Linked DNA regions of Diceros bicornis minor. The protein of the gene in region 2 interacts with the protein of the main gene of each other region in a pairwise test. Links are inferred from orthologs where the notes say so. Each region holds a gene or a part of one and is shown on either strand. Other genes may lie near its edges.

Evidence for each region. The genes of interacting proteins can lie anywhere in the genome.
Region 1: the proteins of CEP63 (region 2) and ARFIP2 interact in binary tests that used the Homo sapiens proteins (3 or more experiments, as listed by UniProt). The link is inferred for Diceros bicornis minor from reciprocal best matches to the Homo sapiens genes CEP63 and ARFIP2.

Annotation. Positions count from the first base shown.
Region 1 is NC_080746.1:64,547,412-64,557,657, forward strand, and holds the start of ARFIP2 (arfaptin-2), read right to left. Parts: upstream 4,011-10,246; 5' UTR 3,906-4,010; intron 3,129-3,905; 5' UTR 3,087-3,128; coding exon 2,988-3,086; intron 2,728-2,987; coding exon 2,631-2,727; intron 1,964-2,630; coding exon of another isoform or gene 1,912-1,963; coding exon 1,793-1,911; intron 1,615-1,792; coding exon 1,393-1,614; intron 848-1,392; coding exon 690-847; intron 544-689; coding exon 369-543; intron 1-368. Other genes in the region: TIMM10B (mitochondrial import inner membrane translocase subunit Tim10 B), read left to right, coding at 4,203-4,238, 4,439-4,534, 4,702-4,878. UniProt on the Homo sapiens protein: Plays a role in constitutive metalloproteinase (MMP) secretion from the trans Golgi network. May have important functions during vesicle biogenesis at certain cargo subdomains, which could be predominantly utilized by secreted MMPs, such as MMP7 and MMP2.
Region 2 is NC_080741.1:18,001,795-18,011,512, forward strand, and holds the start of CEP63 (centrosomal protein of 63 kDa), read right to left. Parts: upstream 4,475-9,718; 5' UTR 4,393-4,474; coding exon 4,196-4,392; exon of another isoform or gene 4,165-4,195; intron 4,130-4,164; exon of another isoform or gene 4,050-4,129; intron 3,658-4,049; exon of another isoform or gene 3,578-3,657; intron 2,570-3,577; exon of another isoform or gene 1,622-2,569; coding exon of another isoform or gene 1,479-1,621; intron 1-1,478. Other genes in the region: ANAPC13 (anaphase-promoting complex subunit 13), read left to right, coding at 6,990-7,088. UniProt on the Homo sapiens protein: Required for normal spindle assembly.

The DNA of each region.
Region 1 (10,246 bases), on a different chromosome or scaffold from region 2:
GGGGCACATGGACTCTGCTCTGATGGTGCTTTTGGGGTGGGGGCTGAACTCCAAGGGAGTCAAAAGTTAAGGGTCAATCCGATGGGAGAAACCTGACTTGATCTACTGGACCTGGGGTTCTGGTACCCCAACTCAGAGGATGATTTCTCCCAGTTACATTCCTGGGATCAGCAGCCAAATCCTCCAACAGAATAGGGCCAGGGATCAGAGGGAGGGTGATCAGAAAGGACCAGGGGCTGAGGGGCCTAGGGGAAGATCCCACTCCTTAGCCAGGCTGCATTTCCCCATCCAGTGATGGGGAGGGTCTGGGGAAAAGGTCAATGTTACAGACAGAAAGGTGGGCTGGGTCAAAGGGGTGGGGTTGGCACCTTGTTTTCTTCCAGGAACTTGAGCTTGATGGCCACATCTCCCCGCAGCTTCTCATATTTGTCCCGATGGGCCTGGAAAGTGGCCTGGGCACTCTCGAGTCGACCACGGGTCGCTGCATCCCGAGGGCCTAGGCTCAGCTCCTCTAAGTCTGTTCGGTAGGCATCATATTCCAGCCTGGGGAGGAGGTGATATAGGCTGGTCTCCACCCCTTTGTCCTCCACACACTCTTCTTTCATTCTTCAATTCTTATGCCCTTAAAGCTCAAACTTCCACCCATGCCAGCCAACTCCCCAAACCCTAGGCCCTGCCAGTGCCCACACCTGGCAGCCTCATACTGTTTGACAGTCATGAGTGTGTCTTCCATGGTCTTGGTCACCAATGTGTTGATGCTAGAGACAAAGAAGTTCACAGCCCCTAGCAGTGTCTCTCCATTCTTGCACAGCAGCTTCTGCGTTTCCGCATTGTAGCCAAATTCCTCCTGAGGGCAGAAGGGAGGGGGCAGGCCTTGAGTAACAGTCCCTACCTGACCAGAACTGTAGAGCCCTTCATTCCCCTCCTCCCCAGGGAGGAAACAGCCATGGAAACTGGAACAGTCAAGGACTGCCTCCAGCAAGGCTCTTAGCCAGAAAGTTAGTGGGGCCACCCTGGGGATACCTAGGGTAGGAATGTCGGGTTGGGGTTCTCAGATAAGTTCACAGGACTAGAACAGGGAAAGCTAGTGCAGCAGGCAAGGGAGGGGCTCCAATTAGGCTGAGCACCGAAGGCATTCTCACCTATGCAGAGAAGGGTTACTTGTGGGGCACCTAATGTGCTGCCTCCCCCACCCACTCCGACTTCTGGACCTCTGTACAAACCCTTAGGCTGACTCCACAGGTGAGTGCTGTTGGGGGTAGGGCTGGGCCCACCCTGGAGGGGTTCTCCCTCTGGGCTGCAGGGAGGGAGTGAGGGAGGGAGGCTGAGGGGAGACTGCCTAGGAGGGCCTGGGCCCAGTCCCCCCCACCCTCTTTGGCCTGGCTGAGGCACCTGAAGCTCTGGGGACTTCTGGCTGAGGTCAGCAAAGGCATCACCTAGTGCATGCTGGGTCTGCAGCAGGCTGTAGAGGTGGGCTGTCAGTGCCCGGCCCAGCTGCAGGACACTCTCATACTTGCGCTTTGTCTCACGCAGCAACTCAATCTGCAGCTCTAGCTCCAGGTCCACAGTCCGGGAGCCTCGGCCAAATCGCTCTGATAACAGCTGCTTTGTGCACTGAATGGGAAGTTGGGGAATAGGTCAGAGACCCTAGCACCCTGCCTCCCCAACAGGTATCTACCCCAGCATCCCCAGGCTCCTCGTCTTAGCCACAGATGGGATATTAGGATCTGGAAGGTGGGGAAAAGGTACTCAGGGGGAGTTTTGGGGGAAGGGAGAGGGGCTTGAATCCCACCTTATATGTGTTGATGCCCCATTTCTTGACAATGTCAAACTTCTCTCCAGCGATGCCCCGAGCCACCTCATCTCCAGGGCCAGCAGGAGTGGCACTGTGAGATGGATGGCGGCCAGACCCTAAAGGACCAAGGGTACAACCAGACACCTCTGTGGCTCCACCCACACTTCCCTCCCAGCACATGAAAACAGCTTCTTTGAAGGAGTGGAAGCTAGACACAATTAGATTCACCTACTCACTAGGAGGAACTCATATCTCGGGCCCTGAGACCCAAATCCCAATATATATCTGGCCTCCTTCTGAGGTGGTGGAGATTGGATGGGGAGGGGAGAGGGAGTTGCTGGTGTACAGGGGCAGAGGAAACAAAAGAAAATATGCTGAGTATGGGGTGGCAGGTCAAGGATGGTGGGTCTTGATAACAGGAAACCTGGTTGACACGCTCATGTGGAATCCTAGTCAGTGAGAGATTCAGCGCTGTTTGTTCCTCTAAATTTTAGAGTCTAACGTAAAACTCTGAGAAGCTCACAGAGTTCCAAATCAGCCTCATGCTCCAGAGCACGGGGAACTCCTGTGAAACAGAGTTCTTAACTTGACTCAAGTGGTGGCAGCAGAGAAAGGACAAATGGGCGCATCTCAGGGGCTAAATGGCAAGTGGGAGTAGCTGAACAACACTGGTAACTGGCCTTGGGCTGAGGAGAGTCCATAGGGTTCATACTAGCAGAGGTTCCCAAGATCTCTGGACATAATTCAAGCTTTCTTAGATATATACTACACTCCCCAGAACCATTCCTCTCCCCCTCTCCACTCAAGCTTCTTGGCCTGTTCTGATCATTCATACCTGTGGGGATGAGTCCATCACCAGAGCCCCCATAGCCACCAGACACAATGCTGGTTTCATTGAGATTGGGTCCTGACACCATCACTTGCTGGAGGTCCTATAGGCCAGAGAAGAGGGGGGCTTCAGGAACATAAGGGCAGCTGAAGCATTTTGGGGATGAGAATAAGCTTGGATTGAAGCATCATAGAGAGAGTGCACAAGGGAAGTCTGCACAGAATCAGAATGAAGATTTATAAAAAGATTGAAGGGAGTTAGATAAGTTAGGGGAAGCCTACTGGAATAGGGGGTCAGAGCCCAGGGTTTATAAATTAGGATTCCTAAATTGAAATATTACGGAGAAGAAGCAAACAGAAGCACCTGCTCCAGCCCATCATCCTCAGGAAGCTGCCCAGCTTCGCCGTTGCCATGGATGGGGATCTCCATGGTGGCTGCCTTCCCTAGGATCCCGTCCGTCATGGCTAGGGAAGGGACTGGAGTCAAAGTCTCCACCCCAGCGCCCTGCAAAGCCCAACAGAGACAGTTCTGGAAACTGGCCAGTACTACAGAAGAGGAAGGTATCCCCTGCCATTCCATAGGTTTGAGAGGTTGTTCCAGGGCTTGAGTGTTCTGGGGTTTGGCCACTACTCCTTTCTTCAGGCATGTATTTCTCCCCTCCAAGGCGCATATTTTTACACATTCATACTCAGGCCTCAGGTGTCTTCTCATGACTCCCAACCCCACCAGGACTCTATTGATCATTCATGCATTCAATCATCCAACAGACATTTAATGAGTGCATACTATGTGTCATGCACTATTTGAGGCAACGGAAATACAGTAGCGAACGAGACAGACAAAGTCTGTGCTTTCTTGGAGCTTATCCCCATGCAGGTGTTTCCCCCCATGAGGAGAAGAACCCCTTTCCAGAGCTCAGGTGCCTAACCCCCATTCAGGTATGTTCTCCATTGCTTGGCCTTTCACACTCTTTTAGTGTTTGTTCCCCTTTCCTTCAGGTGGTCTCCCCCTCCTCCATGCCATGCACCTCCTGCCCTACACCCAGGCCTTAATTGAATCAGTTGGTATCTGTTCTTGGCCTCTGAGAAAAGCCTCTTTTTCCCAGGATATAGGTGATCCCTTTCAAAGTCAGTTATGTCGCTCCAGGTGTGTGAATGCCCGCCCCCCCCATACACCTGGGCATCAGGTGTGCCCTCATCCTTCCTCAGGGCTCAGAGGCACCTTGCCCTCAGGACAGGCTTGTGCTTTCAACTTCCCCTTGCCCAAGTACGTCCCTCTCACCTCGGGCCGGGCCGCTCTTCCCCTCAGGGCGCCAGGCCCGGGCGGCGCGGGGACCTCGGGTTCCAGTTCCCGTCGCGATCCTAGCAGCAGGTCAGGGACTCGGCGGAAGTGACGTCCTCTCCCGGGCAGAAGAAGCCGGCCACGTCGCAGATTATAAGGGCGGAGGTGACGTTGGCAGCCGGGGGCAGGGCGATCCTTGAGCCAACTCCTCATTCCTTGGGGAGCTACGAGAGCTTACTTCCGGGGCGTTACCGAGAAGCTGTAACGGAAGTGACGTAGCCGCGCGCCGGCGGCGTGATGGAGCAGCAGCAGCAGCAGCAACAGCTGAGAAACGTGAGTGGGAGCTCAGTCGCTGAGGGGGTATACTTTCAGCTGGCATCCACGTCCGCGTGGCGGGAACCCCAAAGAGCCAGGGGTCCGAGGGCTGGAAACGTCGGGCTGTGGTGCTCGGTGCTGGGAAACCGTGGGCGGCGCGGCTTGAATTGAGATGCGGGCCCCCTTGTCTCTGAGTTCTTGGTCTCCTTTTCTCCCAGTTACGGGACTTCCTGTTGGTCTACAATCGCATGACGGAACTCTGCTTCCAGCGCTGCGTGCCCAGCCTGCACCACCGAGCTCTGGATGCTGAGGAGGTGGGGACCTGAGTAGAGAGGGTAGGCTGCTCCCTCCTTCCCTCACTTCCCCCATCTCTGGCCCTGGCCTTTCCACGACCCCTTGCTCCTAGGCTGGGGATGGGAAGGAAGGAGACGGACCTGACAGGACACCTTTGGCCTCTACTTCCACCCTGTCTTCCTTCCAGGAGGCATGTCTGCACAGCTGTGCTGGGAAGCTGATCCATTCCAACCACCGCCTCATGGCCGCTTACGTGCAACTCATGCCTGCTCTGGTACAGCGCCGCATCGCAGACTACGAGGCTGCCTCAGCTGTGCCAGGTGTTGCTGCTGAACAGCCCGGAACCTCGCCATCAGGCAGCTAGCCATCCCCAACCCCAGGAAGGGAGGCGCTTGATGGACCCTCAAATTGAAGGAGCCAGTAGACCTTGGGCTGGGTGCGGCCTGTATAGAGAGAGAGTTGCTTGAGAGCTGGGTGCCATTGCTCCTTTTCCTGGAGCCAATAAACCCGCTTTTACTCTGTTTCATTTATATTCTGGGCAGGGAAGCTTTGCCCACTTTATTGGGACCATGCTTTGTTTTGTCAGTTAGTGCATATCTGCTGGCTTCAGCCCTGGCAGGTGGGAAATTGCCTTCTATGTCTGGAAGGAAAACCTCAGCATTCCCAGGCAGCTGGTTAAAGCAAGGTCTGTGGGTATAGTTTTAAGGTTAATAATAGCAACAGGAAGTTGGTTTCTGCCCAGAAGACAGAGAAAATGGGAGCTCTCTCTAGTTGTCCTTAACTTAAACCTCTCTGACTTAAACGGCCCACTTTTGAGCCAGATATGCGTTCCTTCATAACTGTTTTTTCATGGACTGTGTCTTACAAGAAGGAATTTTGCCAGATTTAGGGAAAGGAGGCAGTATCTAAGGACAACAGATCAAGAAACCACAGGGCTTTTAGGCACTACCTTCTGGGAAGTCAGTAGCCCCAGGACAGAGATGAAACCTGTAAGAATTTTGGGGTTTTCCGGAACTTCCACCATTTCTTCAAGTTGTTACTTTGTTACTATTTTGTGTCTTCCCTGGATGAGCAGTAAAACCTTTAAACAAAGAAGGTCTATATGCCTTGTCTTCAGGGGCAGTCAGAAAAGGGAAAACTTGGGGGACTGTATTCTGTAATACAGTCAGACTTGAAGGAGAGAAATCTAAGGGAGAAATAGATGGTGGTGGTTATGGGAAAAAACAAGGATAAAGCGAAATCTTTGGGACCTCTTTAATATTACCTTAATGTCTCACTGCTTGTCTGTAATCTAATTCTAGCTCCCCTAACTTCTACCCCACCTTGTTCCCACTGTACCCATTCTGTGATTTCTAATTCCATCTTCTACATTCTTTTCTCATTATTGGCCCTCTTGTGGAGTTTACTTCTGTACTTAGCAGTCTGAATGGCACTCCATCAACACATTTTCTTGCCACCCTTGTGTCCTTTTTGTGTCATTTCAGCTGTTTTATCTTTTCTATTCCTCATTCAAGCCGTTAGAGGAAAACACAGCTGTGTAATGAATGCCACTAAATGTTCAAGGTCTGCAACCCCAACCAAGCCCTCACTACCAACAAGCAACCCTGTATGAGTTCCTGGTCTATTCCCTCTCCTAATCAACATGGCAGTGATTTTACACCTTCACTGCTCTCCTTAATCCTCCACCTCACCCTCAACTATCCCCCATCAGGTGAACACGTTTCATTTTTTACAGAGGAAATGGAAGCTCTTAGACATTAGTTCCCAGAATAATCAAAAACTCCTTATGACCACCCACAAAGCAGATGTTCTCTCTTCTCTACGGATCAGGGAGGTGAAATTCTCCAGTAGCAGACTCTGTATTAAAATGCAGATCTGACTTTAAAATCCATGTGCTTTTTACTACACTAGGCTGCCTCTCAAAGTAATACCTATTGAGCACCCAGTTTGTATAGGTTCTGATGTTGGTATATGTTATGCTTTATCTTAGTTAATCTTTACAACAAAACTATAAGTAAGAGGTATTATCCCCACTTGACAGATGAGGAAGCAAGAATCCAGAATGTACCAGAAGCCCATCTTATACAGTTACCTATTAAGAAGAGTGGTTGCAATCAGCTTTTTGCCTCCTTAGCTGCTGTCTCTTGAACAGAAAAATTTATTAGGAACGTAAAAGTTGCTGAGCAGGAACTTTCCTATTGACTGGCTTCATGTCTACCCAATAAAATTCTGTCCTTGGAAAGTATAAATGCAAGTAAACCATCTTTTGAATTTACCAATTCCCAGAGATGGGAATGAGGCCCTGGGATATTGTGCTGCTGGTGGGAGAATTCTTCTACATTAACATTTGTGTGTATCCTTGCAGTAAACTTCCCTTGTGAATTATCTGTGTTTCCAGGTCACATAATTAGTAATTGCTGGAGCAGGGCTAGGAACATAGATCTGTCTGACTCTAAAGCCTATGTTCTTTGAAATTCCACAGTTTATATTTGCTTGCTCATCTGCACCCATCCAGTCCTTAGGCATGGAAAAACAAGTGGCCCTCAATCTGATCCATCAATTAGTCCCTTAAATTTTCAATCTTTTCTGTCCTGGTTCTTGCTCCTATTTATAAATATGTTTGATACTTAGAAGTACCTTATTCCTACCATCCATCTTCCATAGTTGTGGAAATCTCGCCCTTAGGTCTTGCCATAAACCGTAGTCATTGGCATAATGAGAGCAATGGTGATGTCTCAAGTACAACACAAGAATAAATGTTGACAAAGCTTTATCCCTTTATCACAAACATTGGAAACAGCGTTGGTGTTCCCACCATTGCGGCTTTAGAACTTAACTGCCCACTCATTTGCAAAGACTGATTCCTTTGAGACTATTCAACTATACCACTATCTCTCATTACTTGTTCTTAGTAACTACCACTCTCCTATTTCCTCTAAATAGCTATCCCTTGGTCTTCATATCCACCCCTTGGTGCTTTAATGTTTACATGGACAGTCCATTCAGTATTTTGGTCTCTTAATTCCTTGACCTAATCTCCAATGATTTCCAGTCTGTCTTAGCCAGCCACTCCCTTAGTTATATCCTAGCCATCGTCATCAGCCCAAACTGCTCCATCTTCAAAACACTGTTACTTGCATCTTACTCATTGACAATATTTCTTCTACTTTGTTTATCGAACTATTCCTCTACTACCATTCTTTGATTTCACTGGAGCATTCACGCCATCACTTCTACCTTCTCTCTTTCCATTAACCCCTTCCTGCCTTTAGATTACTATCCAGCTGAAATTCTTGTGATTCTCTTGGAATAAGCTAAATTTCCTTGCTTCATGTCTTTGTTGGACTCTTAGATGAAATGAAACATTTGTGCCTGCATTTGGGCAGCTAAAAGCTGCCCAAGGAAATCACTGTAGAGCACATTTATATCAACATGAATCCGTGGTTACCAACTTCAAATGGAATCTCAGCCCCTGTAATCCCACCAGGTTTTTCTTTTCATCTTTTCTCCCTGCAATGATTATTTCAAACCAATATTCTTAAGCTTCTTATTGCCCCCCACCATTCTCTTCACTTTCTGCAGGTAACCATATTTCTTACTTCATAGGCAAAAGTAGAAGCTATCAGTTGAGAACTCCTGCAACATCTCGCAACCAAACTTGGTCACTCACCTGGCATCTGCTTCATTCTCTCCTGTCTGAACAAGGCAAGCATCCCTCTCAAGGTTAATGCCTATTCCTGTGCTCTGAATCCTAGTCTGTCCTTTGGGAATCTCTGACTTTTTCCCACTTTACTTCTCACCAGTGTTTAACATGCTAAAGACTCCCTTGTTACAACAAAAAAAACAGTCTATACCTCATTTCTCCTCCAGCTACCATCCTGTTTTTCCACTTTATAGCTAAATTCAAAACAGTTGGTACTTTGGCCCTCTCCATTCCTATTCCTTCACCCAGTCTGTTTTGACTTCTACAACTTTTATTCTATTGAAATAGTTCTTAGGGAGGTCACCCTGGTTCACCAAGTGACGTTCATGTTTCCGAGTCCAATGGTTATTTCCAAGTCCTCAGCTTACTTCACTTCTCGGTAGCGTCTGTTACTATCGACTAGTTCCTCATCATCGACAGTCTTCACTGGTCTCGGGGATTCCACCCACATGACTGTACCACTACTTCTTTGGCTGCAGCTTCTTAGCCTCTTGCAGGCTCATCCGTGTCTGGCCTTTAAATATAAGTTTCTCTAGGTCCTGTTCTTTTTCGGTTTAATTTTTCTAGGATTGTTTCATCCGCACTCTGGGCTTTAGTTACTGATGACCAGATCTCTGCTCTGAGCTACTTGATTGACATCTCCACTTAGGCATCTCAAAAACATCCCATACGCAACATGTTTCCTCATAAACTTTCCTCCTATGCTTACCACTCATCCAGTTGCAGAAGCTAGAAACCTCACTCATCCCCTCACTCAATTGGCAAATCCTATCTGTTTACATTTCTAAATATCCCTTGATTCTGTTTGCTTCTCTCCATTTTCACAGTCTCCCACCAGCATTATTGCAACTTCTGCTTCTCCCCGTATCCACTTTTGCACCCCTCCAATCTGTTCTCCATTCATTGGCCAGAAAACACAAACTGATGCTTAAAACCTTGCAATAGCTTCCCATTCTTCTTAGAATAAAAACACATTCTACACAGGACCTACAAGGCCCTGCATGATCCAGCCTCTGCCTACCTCAGCTTTGTCTTATCAGTGACTGTCAAACACTGGACTGCCAATGCTGTTTGTTGAAGTGAATTGAATTGAACCACACCTCACTCGGCCTCTCTGTGCTCTAGCCACACTGGCCTTTCAGTTCCTTTAACCTGTCACACACTCTTCCATCTCAGGGCCTTTGCACCTGCTGTTTCCTGGCTTGCAATGCTTTCCCCCTTACTTTACCTGCTTAACTTCTACTCATTCTTGAGTACTTAGTTCAGATACTGTTTCCTCAGATAGCTCTTCCCAGACTCCAGCTCCCATAATTTCTCATGTTTTTTAGCATATAGCCCTTCTAACAGTTGGTAATTATATACCTCATGAGGTCAGAGTCCATGTCTGTATTGCTCACCATTGAATCCTTATCACAGTGCCTGGCACGTAATATCTGCTTGATAAATATTTGTTCAATGAACATTTTTCAGTCTCCCAGCTCAATCTTCTATTTATTAACAAGAGAAAGGCTTTTTTCAGAAGAGACAGAAGTGAATCTGTACTTAAACTTTGACCTTTTGCCCATAATTTAGAGGTGTTTTTCATTCAAAATCTCACTGGTTGGTATCTTCTGCTCTTAATATTCACAGATCAGTCAACACCTGAAAGCCTCCATCAGGAGCAAATCATTCTCTGTCATTCTAGTTTCATTTCTTTTTTTTTTTTTTTTTTTTTTGCTTGAGGAAGATTAGCCCTGAGCTAACATCTGTGCCAGTCTTCCTCTATTTTGTATGTGGGATGCCTCCTCACCATGGCTGTTGAGTGGAGCAGGTCCATGCCCAGGATCCAAACCCGTGAACCCAGGCTGCCGAAGCAGAGTGCACAGAACTTGAACCACTCCGCTGTGGGGCCGGCCCCTCCACTGAATTTCTAAGTACTATAGTTCTGCTTAAATACTCTTGAACCCTTTCTTTTCTCTCCATCTTCTTTGTCACCACCTTAATCAAGCTTTCATCAGCTCTTATATAGATTACAGCAGCAGTCACCTAA
Region 2 (9,718 bases):
ATAGAATATTCATCCACCAATGGAACACTATGAAGCCGTGAAAAGGGACAACAATCTCTACATACTTCTGTGGGGGGATCTACAAGGCATATATTATTAGGTAAAAAAAGCAAGATACAAGACAGTGTATGCAAATACTACCTTTTATCTACGAAAGGAGGAAAATATATATATATGGTGCATTTGTTTTTATGGAAGGATAAATCCAAAACTAGTAAATATGATACTACAAGAAAGGGAAATAGAGTGGAGAAAACAGGGATGAAAGCTAAACTTGTCTGGCTGTAGCTTATTTGACAGTTACTTGTTTTATAGGAAATATGCTAATGCTTTACATATAATAAAACAAATGCAAATGGGAAAAAAAGTAGTATTGAAAAGTTGGAAACAAAATGAAATAAGTCAACTAGACATCAAGTCAGCAGCCTAATCATATAACAAATTGTTTCATATGCCTTTAAAATGCAGTAATTTTACTGTACATATCCCAAGTGAGATATATAAGGACAAAAAAGAACTGCAAAGAAATCCTAAACACTATTCAGGAATCATATTGTTAATAATAAAATTGGTATTGTTAATTTGAAACTGTTAAATATAATATAAGAAAAAAAGTAATTATATTAATGACATTAGATACGATGATTTTCAGCAAAAAAGATACAAATAAAAAAATCAAATATGTAAAGAAAAAACTATAAAATTAAGTTGGAAATATCAGTGTGAATTCTGTATATTACTCTTTTAAAAAATGTATTTCCTTGTTAGCTCAGAGCCGGTCTTCCTCAGCAAAAAGAGGATTAGCATGGATGTTAGCTCAGGGCTGATGTTCCTCAAAAAAAGAAAAAAAAAAATGTATTTCCTGGGGCCAGCCCGGTGGCACAAGCGGTTAAGTGGGTGCGCTCCGCTGCGGCAGCCCGAGGTTCACCAGTTTGGATCCTGGGTGCGCACCGACACACCGCTTGTCAAGCCATGCTGTGGTGGCGTTCCATATGAAATAGAGGAAGAGGGGCATGGATGTTAGCCGAGGCCCAACCTTCCTCAGCGAAAAAAAGGAGGATTGGCAGATGTTAGCTCAGGGCCTATCTTCCTCACCAAAAAAAAAAAAAAAAACAAGAAAAAAAAAAGTATTTCCTATCTTTGGCTGCTATAAATCCTAGAACCAATGACCAGCCTAATAGCAAGAGCACCTCCAGCACCCAGACTATGGTCTCTAAACACTGCTCAAAGGAACCAGGGCTTCCTAGTGGCCAGAAATGTATAAAAGAGCCAGGAAGAGGTTTTACCAGAAAACAAGGAAATTATCAAAGACTACTGGTCATACCAAAGTGGACAGGAGCCAACTTAAAAGGGCTGCCACTGGCCAAAGACAGGACAATGTGAGTATTGTCAACCTACACTAGGTTGAAACAGTTTAAATATATTCAAGTCTGTAAGTTCATGATAAAAAATAAAAAGGCAAAAACCCTCATGGTTACCTTTGGAGGTTGCTAGGCCACCAACTCATTATCGTAGTCTGAAAATAGAGGGAAAGAATTAAGTATTTTTCTTGCCTTTCCTGCACAAACTGTATTTCAAATAGCTGATGGCAGTCAAATAACTGGTGGGGAAAGTTCTTCATAAAAGATTTCCAGCTAATAAACACTGAAGGAATGATAGAACTAGAAAATCACCATTTTGCAACCCCTAATGCAATAATGGTTATAGGCAATCTAAATCCATGGAAAGAATTCACCATCGAGCGAAAGGCTCATGGGGAATTTCATGATGGCTGGATTGGGCTGACAACACCTGAAGCCACTACACTGCTCAATCTTAATATCACAAAAAGAGACAACTGAGACACTGCATGCCTCTCTGATAACTAATACAATAGGATGTGTACTGCAGCACCTAGGAAATCTTACCCCCACCACCAAAAAAAATCAAGGTTGAATCTGATCCAGCTTCTAGATCAGTGCTGTTCAACTGAACTTTCTGCAATTATGAAAATATTTTCTATCCACACTATTCAAATGGTAGCCACTAAGCACCTGTGATTATTGGGCACTTGAAACGTGGATAATGCAACCAGGTAACTGAATTTTTAGTTTTATTTCACTTTAATTCATTTAAATAGCCACAGCTTGCTGGTGGCTACTATAGTGGACAGTGCAATTCTAGCTTTAACTACTGGTTCACAGGAAATAAAGGGAATAGATGTACATGTTAAAGGATACCATGTGGATGCAATCAGCTAAATCTAGAATGTTAAGGGAAAAAAGGGAGGCAAGGACTGCTATATTAAAAGATTTAAAAGGTGTATCAACCAAATGCAACATGTGGATCTCTATGGGATTTTGATCCAAACAAGTTAATTGTAAAAAGACATTTAAGGGACAGTTGGGGAAATCTGAATCCAGACTGAATATTGACATTATGTAATTTTTTTAATTTTCCTAGGTGTGATGACAACACTGTGGTTTTGTAAAACTGAAAAAAAAAAACTTAGCTCTTGGAGGGGAAAAAAAACCTAACATAACATAAAAATCAAAAATTCAGTTCCTGAAACCTATATTAATGTTGGCTTCAGCTGAATTTCAAATCAAGTTAACATTTTTTTTTTTTTTTAAGTAGGAAGCTCTGATAGAGTGGACTACTGATGCTGTCACCACCAGCCACCACTACTACACAAATGAGAATACGGATGACCAAGCAAACGTCTCCCACCTATTAATGGGAGGAAAATGGCATCAGTACAATTAACATACACAATTATTACAAATAATTTTAAAACTTGAATCTACATACATCTTAAAGGGCGGTGTGACTGTCTGAATGTTTATAAATCTCTAACCTATTTTAATTTGTCTTTTACTATCCTGATCAGTGATAATGATATAGTCAAAGGGCAAGAAGCTCAGGATAAAAATCAATCTAAATATGGTACTGCAAGCTGAATAAGAAAATACATACACCTTATCGTTAAGCTACAGCTACGATAAGTAGAAATGTAAATATTTGAAAGTAACATGTAGTTGATGATCCTTATGACGATTTCCTCTTCATAGCTATAAAATAAAATTAAATGTAAGCATGTGGGGAACTGCATAACTACAGGGTACCTACCCTACAATACTGCTTTATTAAAGGAATTAAAAAACTTTTTTCAAAGACCGGTTTAAGGAATCGGATGTAAGGCTCAATGAAAACTACTTTGTGCAAATAAGTGCACTGTAACTGTAAACGGAGACCAGTCACTGACAGCAGACTCTTTACTCTTCTGTTGTAAGAGACATAAGCAAAACCACGCTATGAGCCTAGATTTACTGTCTTCAAATATCTTCATGATTCAAGTGTTCCTACAGAACCGTCCCTTTTAAACTCTCACTCTATCATTTATTTCCCATCCCTGATCCGTATGGAGCAATCCGTTAAGTTCAGGGTTCCCCAACTTCAGTCCTTCACGATTTCTGCCACAGTTCCGTATCTCCTGTACTAACATTAACGTTTGTAAAGCAACTCCCTTGCTAAAAATCGCTAACCTCTCCACCACACATGAACCGGTATCACCCGCCGTCCAGGACCTAAGTCGCACCTTGCTAGGGAGCTAACAGGGCACGGAGCCCGGGCGGGAGGGCTGTGCCGGGGTCCCTCCCCCGGGGAGGAAGCCTGGCTCCGCCAGGGAAGGTGAGGGCCCGAGAGCAGCTCGCCCCCGCCCTTCCGCCCTCCCGGCCTCCCAGCCTCCCAGCCTCCGGGTAGAGGCTGACCACCTGGCTGGCGCGGACGGCGCGCCCGGCACCGCCATAGTCGCCTTCGCGCGGCCGCAGGGCGTCCGCGGCAAGGACGAGGGGCGGGGCGCCGGGGCGGGCCCGGGCCGGCGGGGGCGGGCCCGGCGGCAGGCGGGCAGCTCCGGAAGCCAGTCCCGGTCCCTGGGGCCGCGCGGCCGGCGGCGCCACTGCAGCCAGAGCGGCCTCCAGCCCAGAACCCCTCAGGCCCTCGCCGGCCCTACGTGCGCACATGCGGTTACGGGCTGCCGCGAGCGCGCCCCCGAGCCTTCCCGCCGTTACCTCCGGCCGGGGGCGCGCACGCGCGTCACCGCCAACCTGACGTCCAGCCTCCGTCGCCGGCACGTTCGTTCCGCCCACTGCGCCCTCACTTTGAATTGACACTACGTCCTCCCTGACCTCCCCTCCGCGCCAGCAAATGGGCTCACCCACATCCGGGGATCGGAGAAAAGGGCGTGCGGATCACGTGATGAGGAGGGCGGGGTCTGGCGGAAGTGGTGCGATCTGGGTCGGGTACCGGTAAGGGTTTACCGCGCTGCAGGCCTAGGTTTTGGAGGGGCGGGATCGCGTTGTTCCTCAGCGTCGCGCTTCTCCAACTTCCGTCGGCCGAAGCTGAGGCTTTCATTTCGTTCTCATACTCATTCGCCTATCACACGCCGGGTCCGGTGGAGAGGACTCGCGTGGCGGGCCTGGACCTCCCCCGCTCCGCTTTTGGTACTTCCAGCCCGGGCCGGAAGGCGCGGCGGGGGCAGCCTCACCTGTACGACGGTGGTGGCCTGCGAGGGTCATTTCTAGTGAGGGAAAACGCCTTCCTGCTTTGATCGCGGAGCTGCGCGTTTACAGAGCTCTGGAGCACAGAGAGGCCTGCCCCGGGGGGCGCACGCACCGTCTGTCTGGGAGGACGTGTAACCGGCGATGTGGCAGCCTCCCGTCGGGACCGTTCATGAGCCCTGGGAGCCATGGGACCCTTGCAGGGGCGGGCGCGCGCGCGCCTGGGTCTGGGGGAGGGCCTCCTGCGGGAGGCGACCCGAGAGTTTCTAGACTGACTGGGGATTAGCTGGGGAAAAAGAGTAAAAAGCCTTCCAGGCATTGGGACTGTCACGTGCGTAAGAACAGTTTGTTCGGGAAACTGGTAGTGGTTCGTTCTGTCGAGTGTGGCAAGTGCTTGGGACAGTGGCCGTGCCCTGGACATCGCCTGTCTTGATGCTTTCCACTCTTCCAGCCCCTTAAGAGTGAAGGCAATTTAGCGCCCAACTGTGGAAGGAGGACGTTGATCCGGAAGAGCTGACGCACACTTTGAGTTTGGAGGGAAAAGTAGGTGTTAGTGCTGGGGGAAAGAGGGTTTTAAGTGCAGAGGCTGGCAAGTATGAGAGGGTTAGAGGTGTTTGGAAAAGGAACGGGTGAATAAAGATTGAGGACACATTGGGGGAAGATGTGCTGAGGCATTGATACAAAATTTACACATAACAATCCCTATGCATACATAGCTTGTCAAGCCATGCTGTGGCAGCGTCCCATATACAAAATAGAGGAAGGTGGGCACAGATGTTATCTCAGGGCTAATCTTCCTCAGCAGAAAGAAAAAAAAAATCACTTGGAGACAATTATACCTGAGCAGTGGGTTGCAGAGGCGACCTGACTTGTTTAGTAGATGTTAAGGACAAGAAGGAAGCATTTGAGGGCCGAGTGCCTGCTGAAGCTGCTGTGATTTTAGAAAACTTGACAAAAAGATGGAATCTGTGTGTGACTGGGAAAATCGGCTGGTTTTGGTCACCTTAGAAAATTAAGGAGGGTATCCCCAGGGGCAGAGCAGCAAGGACGAAGGAGTGGCAGCAGGAAAAGGGAGGGGTCTTATAGGACTCCAGATTTTGGAGTCCAGGGACTCCAAAAGTATAACTGGAACTGAGGGCAGGAACTCCTTGTGTGTGGATTTCCTAAAGACAGGTTCCTTGGCTTTCACTTGTCCACTGGGCAGTCCTGGATTAATCGTTGAGTTAAACGTGAAGACCTCATCATGTTCACTGGTGGCAGAAGTAGCTGGGCACCTTTTGCTTCAGTTTTGCCTGGATCCTTATCATGGGGGCAAAACCCTTCTGCCACTACAATCTGTACAGTTATTACAGGTATTAGGGTTACCTTGCAATCACACTACTGGGGACAAGCACAGGCCTGTATGAAGGAGTTGGATTCTGCACCTGAAGATTGTTTCTTGTATGAATCTTCATAGTCTCAAACTGGGAATAAAAGAGTGCCTTTGGTGTCATTGGCTTCCAAGCCATCAGGATGGCTGCTTTGTAGCAGGTGGCACAGTAGGGTGGTGTCTGGTGCCTGTGATGAAGAAGCAAGAGCCCAAACTTGGAAACGAGATGCAGAGGTGCCCTCCAAGCTGGCAGCAGCCGTTTAGGAGAAAAATAGGGAATCAGCTGTAGTCAAGGAGCTAAGTAAGCCGCTTGACTGCTTGGGCCAGGCATGGAAGGGAGTATGGCGTTGAGAATCAGAGGAAGGAACCCTGAAGGGAAACAGACACGAGCAGCATGGGGTACTGCCACTGTTGTTCACCTAGAGGTGCTCCTTTCAGAGCTCAGGCTGGGCGCTGTTTTCAGAAAGGAAGCAGTTTCTTTTACAGGCTCAACTGAGGATTTCTGTCAAATCTGTCGTTGGTCACTTCGTGTAACCCTGTTCAGCATTATCTCAGTGTGTTCATTTAGCTCCTGTGCCTAAGAATGCTGAGATTAGAGCCAAGGCAGGTGGAGACTTTTGTAAAAATGGTGCAGGAAAGGCTAGAGGGGCCAGAGAGGAGACTTGGTTATGCATCAAGGACCCATCAAAGGCATCTCAAACAGGGAAAGGTGAGTGTGCAATTTAGGAGAGAAAAGCTACATTCAAGATGTACTGTGGCCTTGTAAAGGAGGCCCTCAGGTATGTTGGCCTCCTGTCACGCTGTGACACTGGTCTGTCAACTGGGCTATGTCTGATGTCTGTCCGATAACACTGTAAAGCTGAGCAGTGAGGGGGCAGGAGGAAGGGACTGTGATCTTATAAAGTAAGTTGTCACCTGACCCAGGCAAGAGGTGAGTCGTTCCCAGGGTGATGTTATCCCAAAAGACATATCCAGGCCGAAAAGCCTGGGAACTCCGAGTGCGGGATTACGTCATCTCAGTCTTCGTGTTTAAGAAATAACCTCTTTGGCTTACAGATCTGACAAGATAAAGCTGCCGGAGAATGGACAGTGAGGTCCAGAGAGATGGAAGGATCTTGGATTTGATTGATGATGCTTGGCGAGAAGACAAGCTTCCTTATGAGGATGTCGCAATACCACTGGTAGGTTATAGTTTGTGCTGAGGATGATGGGTTAAAGGTATGATCTGGTGGGTCCTGGTAGAGGTAGGAATCAGTGGACAAAAAAGCTAGCAGGGCAGAGAAATCAAAGCTGTGGAGTCCTCTAACCCTAGAAGCCTCTGGAGCGCATTTAGCTCAAGTCTTTATTTGAAGAGAACTGTGGTTCAGAGAGCTGATATGACCACCTTGGCTAGGGGTCATGCCAGGCATGGAACACAGGTCTTCTGAGCCGTGTTCTATCCACCACACCAAAGCTAGTAAACTGGATAATGAGAGTTTAGTGCATTAGAAGGAGAGGAACAAGAAGCAGTGGCATGAGCACTGCATTTCTAACTTCTCTACCTGTGGTTTGTCAGTTGACATTTTTAGAAACTCGCACTCTTGGTACACACACCTATCCCAGGTTCCCTGGAAAATATTCAAAAGACACCTGGCTTTTCTTCTTTTGCATTTAGACCAACAGGCTTCTGGAATACTCTTTTCTTTCCCAATCTCTGGAAAACTCTCCTGCAAGGAGTTTGTTAAACTTCATGAATAAGTTATGTAAAAGTTTTGCTTGTATAAATGCCTATTAAAAAGTCCTATTTATGTCATAAGAGGCCTAACAAAAAACAAGGAGAACAGGATTTAGGGACTGTTTTTCTTTAGAGCATGCCAACTGCCCTGAGAAGAGCCATTAATAAAAAATAGCTTGGAGGTAGATGATCTGCTGCTGTTATTTACAGAGAAATAAAATTCAGCTCACCCACATTTTCATTTAAGAATAGGAGATAATAATATGTTTGATGGATAAAACATATCAAATAATAAGTCACAGCTTAGTTTGAGTTTACAAAAATAGTCAAAAGAGCATAATGAGAATTATAGCTGCTACTTATTGAATACCAGTTTTATGCCATGGACTGAGGTTGAAATTTGACATACATTATCTCTGATCCTCAGAGCAACCTTGCAGGGGTGGTGGTGTTACCCCATTTTACGGGCAGGAAATAGGATCAGAGAGGGGACCTTGTCCACAGTCTGGGTTGGACTTCACACCTAGGTCTGTGAGGCTCCAGATCATGTCCTGTAAACTTTAGTTCATTCTTTCACTCGACAAGCATTTTTTTTAAGCCTACTGTGTACCATGAGACTAATTGAACATAAGATGTAGTTTCTGTCCCTAGAGGTCTAAAGAGGTAACATAGATAAATAGTTATAAAAAGTGTCCTAAGTGGGGGTCATGAACAGCTATGTAGTATTGGAGGTGGTTGATTGCCTGTTGGCTCTCAGGAAAGGCTTCAGAGAGAATGTCAGAAGGGAGGATCAGAAGTTTAGTCAGGTAGACAAGGGCACTCCAGCAGAGGGGACAGAGGTGCAAAGGCTCCAAATTTGTAAAGGCTTTGGGAGATGGTGAGGCATTCAGTGTGGATGGAGAATATGTTGTCATATAAGTAGGCAGAAAAGTTGGGCTCGGACCAGATTTGAGAAGAGTATTTGGTGCCGTGCTTAGACCTCATCCTGGGGATATCCAGGAATGAGTGGTCTTCAGAGTGGAAGTCTGCCATGCTCAGTTTTGGGTTTTGGAAAATCAGTTTAACAATCAGCATTGTTAGAGAATGTCTGCCGTGGAGAAAGGGGCAAGTGACAGGGCAGAGAGACCAATTAAGAAGCTATTGCAGTGGTCTAGGCAAGGGAGGAGGGCCTGAACAAAGATAAGAAAATGGAGGAGAATTGCTGAATTCTGGACATGCTTATGGCAGGATTTGGAGACCATTTGTGTGGTAGGGGATAAAGGAGAGGGAAATTTCCATGCTGACTTTCAGTTTGTAGCCTGGCCCTGTTGCTAATCCATCTTTTCCCATGTCTTGTGTATCAGTTAGCTTTTGCTGCATAACAAATCACCCCAAAACATAGTGGCTTAAAACAGCAGCTGTTTATCTCGTAGCTTTGTAGCTCAGCTGAGAGGGTTTTCTGGTCTTCACCAGCTTGGCTCATCCGTGCTGGACTTGGCTGGTGTTCTGTAGTCAGCCAGCAGCTAGCTGGAGGCTGGGTAATTCAGGACACTTTCACGTGTCCTGGCTGTTAGTAGGCTGTCAGATGGGATCATGGGGTGATGAGGACACAGTGTCCCATTGTCCAGCAGACTAGCCCAGACCTCTTCGCATGGCCTCACATGGTTCCAAGAGCAGCATGAGAGGAAACTACAGAGCTTCATGGAGCTTAGGCCAAGAACTGGCCCCCTGGCACTGCAGCTGCATACTGTTAGCCAAAGCAAACCACGTGGCCAGTCCAGATCAAGATGAGGAGATAGACTCAGACTTTTATAGCAGGAGCTGCAAAGAATTGTGACCATTTTTGCAGTATACTGTAGAGATTTATGATACTTTGTGTTTGTTTTCCAGATGCATACACAATTTTATATGTTGGCATTCGTTGCAAGAGACAATAGTGACCAGATGAAAGACACATTATTTTAGAATGCGTACCACAGATGGGATGAAATTAAGCAAAGTTGCCTGTCTCTGAATTAAATAATTTATTAACCAAGGACTTGTTTGTGCTTTGTCAGCTATAAGTAATTATTAGAACCAAACTTTTTAAGTTTATGTTATTGCCTTACAGTAAATAAT